2 linked regions of the Oryctolagus cuniculus genome follow. The protein of the gene in region 1 interacts with the protein of each later gene in a pairwise test. Links are inferred from orthologs where the notes say so. Each region holds a gene or a part of one and is shown on either strand. Other genes may lie near its edges. The genes, in order: VTI1B and PTPN5.

Region 1 (4,282 bases):
ATAATACGGTAGAACAGATGAATTAATATTTTACTTAATTTATATTGAACATGCAATAACAAATAAAAATCTTTTTCAGTTGTTTGTCATGTTTTTACTTATGAGAATAAAAACCGTAAGAATTAAGCACAAGCTCACTTATAGTCGAAAGAAGACAACACTTCGTCGTTACAGCTTGGCAGTTATTTCTCACGTTAAGGGCCGTTTAGCCCGGAGTTGAGCTGTAATGCTACAATCTGCAGATGACAGTAACCTGGATTGTGTGCTGACTTGACGCCTCGCGCCCATTGCCTGCTTTGCCGACACAGCTGGAGGTCACTTTGTCCTCGTGTTCTGACCGCGGCATGCTGTTGATCTCTGCGCTGTAGCACAGTGCGCTGCCACCGCCACCCTCAGCTCTTGTCATCTCCGTGCTGGGTGTCACCTCCACGCACTGAGAGCTCAGCACTGTTAAAATCAAGCCTCAAATCTACTAGAAATAAGGGCCCGGGAGACACAAGTCACCAACATTATCCTCTCAGCATTCGCGGGCATTAAAATGTGCGTGCGTTTAAACTGGGCTCCCAGGCAAGCGAGAGCGAAGCGTGAAATCAGCGCCAAGGGGCACCTGTGCGCATGCAGTGCAGGAGAGGGCTTTGTCCACCTAGTGGTGGACCAGCTGAGGAAGCCCCGCCATCGGTGGCCCCTAGTTCATGTGCCCAATGAACTAGGCGAGCCCAGCCTAGAGACCAAGAACGCACACTTTGGGGTCCACTGCCCGGGGTTTCATGACCCTAGCCACCTGACATCCCAGTCCGAGGGCAGGCAGGACCCCGGCCCCGCTGTCTTTCCCAGGCTGAAAGCTAACACCTGATGAGGACACTAATTGTGGAAGCCGGGGTAGCACAGCAACGTGCAGACCCCATATCCAATAGATACCAAACCGCTGCGCAACTGGGCAGGAGGAGACGCCAGCTGAAGCAACACGTGACGCCCGAGCCTGCGCGTCCACTGCGCCGAACTACAACTCCCGGCATGCGCTGCGGCGCCGCCCTCACGGGCAGGGCCGTCAAGGAGGCGGCCGAGCTGCCCGACCCGCGGGCCCGTCGGGCCCTTCCGCTGTGACAACTTCCCCCAACAGCGAACCGGATATTCTAAGCGCTCCGGGAATATCGCTCTAACGTGCGGTGCCGCTGTCCCTCAGGACCCGCTCGGCAGCGAAACCCTTCCGACTTTCCATCAGGCTTTCGCGCACGGCGCTCCCATAGCGTTAGGCTGGAGGGCGTGGACGTTCCGGCGCGGGAGGACCCCGCCGCGGCCCCGGAAGCGCCTCGTCCGCGGCGGCGGGGGCGCGGCGGTCGCCGTGATGGCCGTGGGGCTGGGCGGCTGACCGCCGGGCCGGGAGCAAACTCAGAGCCCAGAACCTCGGCGGCCGCGGCCGTAGCTCGGCCTTCGTGATGGCTACCTCCGCCGCCTCCTCGGAGCATTTCGAAAAGTTGCACGAGATCTTCCGGGGCCTCCATGAAGACCTCTTAGGGGTGCCCGGGCGGCTGCTGGGGACGGCAGGGACCGGTGAGGCAGGGGCGGGACAGACCGTGGGCAGTGCAACCCCGTGCGGCCGGGCGCCAGTCTCGCCGCCCCTCATCAGACACGCCTCCCGGGGACCCCCCCCCCCCCCCGTGGCTTCTTAAAATTCGCATTTTGGGTGGGGAGGAGAGGTCTTTAAATCTGTGATCCTGTGTTCTGGGGAATGGGCTTCTTTCGTAGCTCCCTGTGTATTGTTTTACGCATTTAAAGGCCTTATTCTTGGGGGAGGCCCGTCGTTTCTATCAGTCTGGCAGTAGAGGGGGTGGAACGGGCGTTTGCAAAGAGAAGGGGAAAAAGGGGGAAGAAGCTGCGAGGGAGCGCGGAATCTCACGCTCTCAGCTGTGGAGTCGGGGGTACGTGGGGGAGAGCGCGTCAGCCAGGACGTGGAGGGGTCTGATTGTCCACGCCAGACACTTGGACTTGAGGTGGCGAGTCGGGCGAAGCGTTTCGGGCGGCTGGTTAATGCGGATTTTACTTTCGAGAGAGGGTGCTGGTGGCTGGATAGAGGAGCCGCACAAGAGTGAGGGGCCCGGGCTGAGAGCCCTAGTGGCGGGCGTCCGGGTGCGTGGGTTTCTGGGGAGTTCTGCATCCAAGAGCTGGCTCGGAGGCAGGAGCTGACCGGCCGGAGCGGCTGTGGGGAGCGAGGAGCAGCCGCGCAGGGGCCGGCGCGCTCACCTGCAGGCAGCGGAAGCCCACTTGCCCGGGTGTGTGTGTGAGGGCGGCGGGGGCGCCTGTGGAGCGGACATCACGGGGTCGCGTCCGTTGTAGCCTGACGAAATACGTGGTCTGCCGCGGGGAAGAACAGACCGGGGAACTGGGAGGCAGCGGTGAAGCAGGAATCCTAGGGCCGGGGTTCAGATCCACTTCAGCAGTGTGACCGCGGACACGTTTCTTTAACCAAACTAGTGTCCCCTGCAAAATGGGAATAAACTGAACTGTCTGCTTCTAGGGTTTTTGTGAGGAATAAATGCGTGAATCAGGATAACGCCCCTGACGATAGTAGGCAATTTCTTGTCATTAATATGTGGGGAACTGAGTGTTTCGGGCGAGACTACCAGCTCTGTATACTACCTCTCTTAGCTTGCTCTGCGTTTCCCCCAGATCGCTTAGTCTCTAACAGCGTACTAGACACTCCGCATATTTGTGATAGTTACAGTTGTTTGTCTTCTTTCCCCAGAGTAGTTTTTTTTTTTTTTTTTTTTTTTTTTTTTTAATTTATTTGAAAGGCAGAGTTAGAGAGAGAGACAGAGAAAAGTCTTCCATCCGCTGGTTCACTCCCCAATGGCCGCAACAGCCAGAGCTGAGCTGATCCAAAGCCAGGAGTCTCCGGGTCTCTCATGTGGGTGCGGGGGCCCAAGGACTTGGGCCATCTTCTACTGCTTTCCCAGGCCACAGCAGGGAGCTGAATCAGAAGTGGAGCAGCCGGGACTCAAACCCATGCTCATCTGGGATGCGTGGCAGGTGGTGGCTTACTTCACAGTGCTGGTCCCCAGAAACTGTTTTTTGTTTGTTTGTTTGTTTTTTAATATTTATTTATTTGAAAAAGTTACACAGAGAGGAGAGGCAGAGAGAGAGAGAGAGAGAGAGAGAGATGTCTTCCATCCAATGGTTCACTCCCCACTGGCCACGACGGAGCTGCGCTGATCCGAAGCCAGGAGCCAGGAGTTTCTTCCGGGTCTCCCATGTGGGTACAGGGGCCCAAGGACTTGGGCCATCTTCTGCTTTCCCAGGCCATAGCAGAGAGCTGGATTGGAAGTAGAGCAGCCAGGTCTGGAACCGGTGCCCATATGGGATGCTGATGCTTCAGGCCGGGGCATTACCCCACTGTACCACAGCGCTGGCCCCCAGAAACTGTTTTAACAAGCAGTTTGGTTTAACCACCCACCTGGGGATATTTTTTAAATTTACAAAAGAAAAATTGTGTTGTACCCCCCAAGTAGTTACCATATTCTCACTGCATTTCCATTTCCCTATGAACATGTCTTATTACTATATTTGTCAGAATTAAAGAGCTCACACCCAGTTTCCCTTGTTTTTAAACCCAAACTCTTTTTATCCCTTCCAGCACGCCCAGCCTCTAGTAATCAACATTCAGTGTTCAGATTGAGAGGTTTGGTTTGGTTTTGTTGGTTTTTTAAATTTTAGCTCCCACATACAAGGGAGAACAATGCAGTATGTGTCTGTCTGTGTCTGGCCTTACTTCACACAACATGATGTCCTCCGATTCCAACCATTTTGCTACAAATGACAAGATTTCATTCTTTTTTAAAAGTAACACTTCAGTGTATATACATTCCACATTCTCTTCATCCATTCCTCCCATGGTGGACACCTTGGCTGAGTCGTTACTTTGTCTGTTGTGATGAGCACGGTGGAGCAGGCCCGCTGGGTGAGCTCTGAGTCACTATTGAAGTCAGTGCTGTGTTCGTGTGTTATGTATCCTAAGCACTTAGAGTGTCTGGTGCCTCCTGGATGCTCCATAAATAGCTGTTGAACGATTGATTATATAATTGCTGCGAAGAAGGTACTCATTTATGACTGTTGAGACTCAGTGACTGACTTCTGTTCACGTTTTCATTACTTTTAAGATGGACATCTAGACCCATTAGAACCACAGGAGAGATTTTTTTCCCCATAGTGTACATTCAGTTTCTGCCTTTGAAGGATAACTAAGACTGGGGAATGAAGCCCAGATTCAAACCCTCTGCCCGGGCAG
Region 2 (3,804 bases), on another chromosome or scaffold:
CTCAGGATTCCCACTGGGGAGGGCAGCAGTCAGGCCGTGTCTCCCCTGGTCCTCGCTGGATTATGGAGAGCCTCAAGCCACTCCAGCCGTGGCCTAGCTTCCAGGCCCCAACCTCCTGTGTGTGTCCAGCACAAGCTAACCCTGCTCGCTCAGAGCCAGGTTCAGGGGAGGAGGACCGGGCAGGCTTAGCAGAGGCCGCCCCTCAGGTCCTGGCCACCCTGCGGTCTCCTTGAGGCAGCACCCGTTTCTCAAGGCTAAGAGCTGAGATGTGAATAAGACAGACCGTGCACAAGGAGCCCCGGTGCAGCGGGAGAGACAGGTGCACAGCATGATGGTAACCCAGCAGGAGGCCTGGCACCAAAACGGTGCCTGGCGCGTGGCTCGTGGATGGACAGACGGACGGGTGGGTAGATGGTCAGTCAGATGAGTGGATAGATGGACAGACAGGGCAGGGAGAGGTGGACAGGTTAGGAGGAGGGGGAGTAGGTGGGTGGTGGATGAACACCTCCCAGCAGCGGCTTCTCCTCTCCGTCCTCACCGCCAAGTGACAAGGTCAGGGCCAGTCGCAGGGGATGCCACGTACAGAGACCTGGGCACACGCCAGGCGTGCTTGTGACCCCCGACACGTCTCACCCGGCTCATCGCGGTCCTCTGCTGTCCACTCTCTTGACTTCCACGCTCCCCTCTCCTGTCCTCCCGGCGCTGCCCGCGGAGTGCTGCACAGCAGAACCCTGGTCGAGTCGCTCTCCCCCTCAGACGCAGCCACTGCCACCGAGTGGCCCTTGGCTTGAGGGTCAGCTTTCTAAGCCTGGGTTAGATGACCCTGTAGCCTCTCGTTCCCGTCCAGCCTCGCCTCTCACGAGTCCCGCCCAGCCCTGGGCACTGGAATCCCACACAACAGCATCCCCTGCTCCTCCGGCTAAGGGCCTGCCAACCCCGCCAAGGAGCCACCTCTTCCAGGAAGCCCACGCAGCCGGGCCAAGTCTGCTCCCGCAGCCCCAATGCTCAACTGCCGTATGTTCCTCATCTGCCTGCCCAGCACGCTGCAGGCTCTGGTGTCTGGCGGGGGTGGGCAGTGCCCACTTCCGTCCTGCAGGCCAGGGGAAGGGAGATGGCCAAACACAGGCACAGCTACCTGCTCCCGAAGTTCCCCCTCGCCCCTCTCCATCCGCGCCGCCCTGCTGTGTCCCTCTGCACGACAACCACGGTGCTGCCAAGACCTCAGGCAGTGGGACCGGGAGGCAAAGGGCAGCAGAGGCGAGGTGTGCACGTCGCCGCCCGTGTTGCAGACTCTTCCTTTACCCGTTGCCTAATGGTAGAGTTGGCAGCAATGGCAACTGTGTGGCAGCTGCTCGCCGTGCGGCGCTGCGTGCACACTGGTCTAAGTTACCCGGCTAACTAACGTTGCCTCCTTTAACCTTCACACAGTATGTGGGGTCGTGGTGAACAGAGCATCCCCACCGTGCAGGCGAGGCACAGGGAGACGGGGCAGACTGTCCACCTCGATGCTGCCGGGGAGTCATGGGGCCACGTCCCACATCCAGGCTCTCTGGCTCGGTGATGTGGACTTGGCAATGACCACCACCTGTGCAAGCCCCCCTGTGCCCGCTAGAAGCGCCTTCGATCCAGAGAAGGGATCAGACTCTGTGCCAAAGTGAGCCCAGGCCCCAGAGCTGCAGGCCCCCAGCTAGCTTCCCTGCCCACCCCGCACCCGGTCCCAGAACAGACAACTACAGGGAGGCTGGCTGGAGCTGGAACAAAGCAGAGTCTACCCCGGGAAGAACAGGATGTTACGGGAATCTGTCACTCGGGGAACTGACGTGAATAGACTGGGGAGAGAGGGCCCCTGTGCACACGCATCTGTCGTCTCGTCTCAGCCGGTCAGCGACAGCGCATCCGCACTCTGCAGCTGCCACCTGCTGTTGGGGATCTCTACCGAAGGTCACCCCTTTCCTGCCGTAGCTTTCTCTTCCCCAGAACGTGGGGTGCAAGGAGTGCAGCACAGCTGAAGGGGCACGGGCACACAACAGGGCCTCTCCCACTGCCTCCTTACCCGAGGCCGCGCCTGTCCTGTCCAAATGGACCCCAAGAGGGGTCCTTGTTTAATGGCCAGGGGGAAGGAAGAATTGCCTGGGTCCCAGAAGAGGGGTGGGGCCCTGGAGTGGGCCGTGCCCAGGTCCCTGCCTCACCTGGCTCCCTCCCCCACCCCAGACCCTCACAGCAGAGTGTGTCTGAGCTCGCCAGATCCCGAGGATCCTCTGAGTTCCTACATCAATGCCAACTACATCCGGGTACGTAGCCCCATCCCGACGGCCAAACCAGTGTGGCTGCTGCCAGCCCCGGGACAAGCCCCAGTGTGGGGACTGGGCCCTGGGAGTGCTGCCTCCAAGCCTGACAACCTGGGCTCGGCTGGCCACAGGGCTACGGCGGCGAGGAGAAGGTGTACATCGCCACGCAGGGCCCCATCGTGAGCACGGTGGCCGACTTCTGGCGCATGGTGTGGCAGGAGCACGCGCCCATCATCGTCATGATCACCAACATCGAGGAGATGAACGAGGTAGGGACCCCGGGCTGTGACCAAGTGCTCGCTGCTTTGTGTCCTGTCCCAAGCATCAGGATCCCACGTGAATCCTAGGACTGGCCTGTGAGGCTGGCGGGGCTCACAGCAGCCAGAGCTGGACCATGTGGTCGCTGGTGGAGCCTGGAGCCAGCCTCTCCACCGCCGGTGCCCGTGATGCTCAGCTGCTTCCCAGCCGGCCAGGACCAACACTGGCTGTACCCGTGACAGCCGGGTTCATTGACTCCCCATAGAAGTCCTTAAGAATGAGGACAGTTTCCAACTGCCGGATACATACGCCGAGCCATAGAGTTCATGTTCTTATAGATTGTGGAGCTCGGGACCTGTTGTGTTTTTATGCCCCCTGCTGGCCCTGGAGGGGCATTGAGGAGGGATGGGGGTGTGGCAGGGGATGGGGCAGAGGGCGGGTCGCAGCCTGATCTGGGCCCCTGCAGAAATGCACCGAGTACTGGCCGGAGGAGCAGGTGGTGCACGATGGCGTAGAGATCACCGTGCACAGGGTCATCCACACTGAGGATTACCGGCTGCGACTCATCTCCCTCAAGGTGAGCTCTGGGGCCGGGCTGGGTGGATGGAAGCGAGGGGCACCACTGGGGACTCCACTGAGAACAGGGTGCAGCCGTCCACTGCAGCGGAAACAAAGGCCTTTGTCAGGATTTACTGATAAGTAGAGGCGAAGGAGGCGCAGATGGACTTGGGGGCCAGGCAGGACCAAACCAAACCTCAGCTGCTTTTCCTAGAGCTCAGCTACATTCGTTGCTGATGGACTCTCTCTATGTAAACTGCCATTTACAATGCCCGCTGGCCCGAGGCCGGGAAGGGGTGGATGGGGGGACTTCTGCAGCCTCCTGCACGGTCCTCATGAGTGAGGGCTCCTTAACGACTTGGAGATCTGCCCTAGAAACGGTCCCTTCAAGACCTGGGCTGGGCTGGGCTCCTGGCTGTAGTGCCGGCCCTGTCCACCAGAGGGCAGACGCTCCCTGCTGCTGCGGCGCTGCACAGAGGCTGTGGTTACAGAAAATGGCAAGAAAAGGGAAGGCAGCAACATATGAGCAGTGCAGAACAGCCCGGAAGAGTGAGCGGAGGGATCCTCCCACCCTGAAGTGGTGCCTCTTCCAGGATCGCATAACAGGAGACTGTTCCTTTCGAATCGGGGGGGATTCGTGGGTTCCGTGTTTGCGAAGTGGAGGGATCTGCGTTGGGGAAGGAGGAGCTCCCCGTAACAG

What was found.
Region 2: the proteins of VTI1B (region 1) and PTPN5 interact in binary tests that used the Homo sapiens proteins (3 or more experiments, as listed by UniProt). The two-hybrid records come from large-scale screens. The link is inferred for Oryctolagus cuniculus from reciprocal best matches to the Homo sapiens genes VTI1B and PTPN5.

The regions. Positions count from the first base shown.
Region 1 is NC_091451.1:13,562,225-13,566,506, reverse strand, and holds the start of VTI1B (vesicle transport through interaction with t-SNAREs homolog 1B), read left to right. Parts: upstream 1-1,288; 5' UTR 1,289-1,436; coding exon 1,437-1,551; intron 1,552-4,282. UniProt on the Homo sapiens protein: V-SNARE that mediates vesicle transport pathways through interactions with t-SNAREs on the target membrane. These interactions are proposed to mediate aspects of the specificity of vesicle trafficking and to promote fusion of the lipid bilayers.
Region 2 is NC_091432.1:47,714,493-47,718,296, forward strand, and holds part of PTPN5 (tyrosine-protein phosphatase non-receptor type 5), read left to right. Parts: intron 1-2,211; coding exon 2,212-2,291; intron 2,292-2,419; coding exon 2,420-2,557; intron 2,558-3,012; coding exon 3,013-3,123; intron 3,124-3,804. UniProt on the Homo sapiens protein: May regulate the activity of several effector molecules involved in synaptic plasticity and neuronal cell survival, including MAPKs, Src family kinases and NMDA receptors.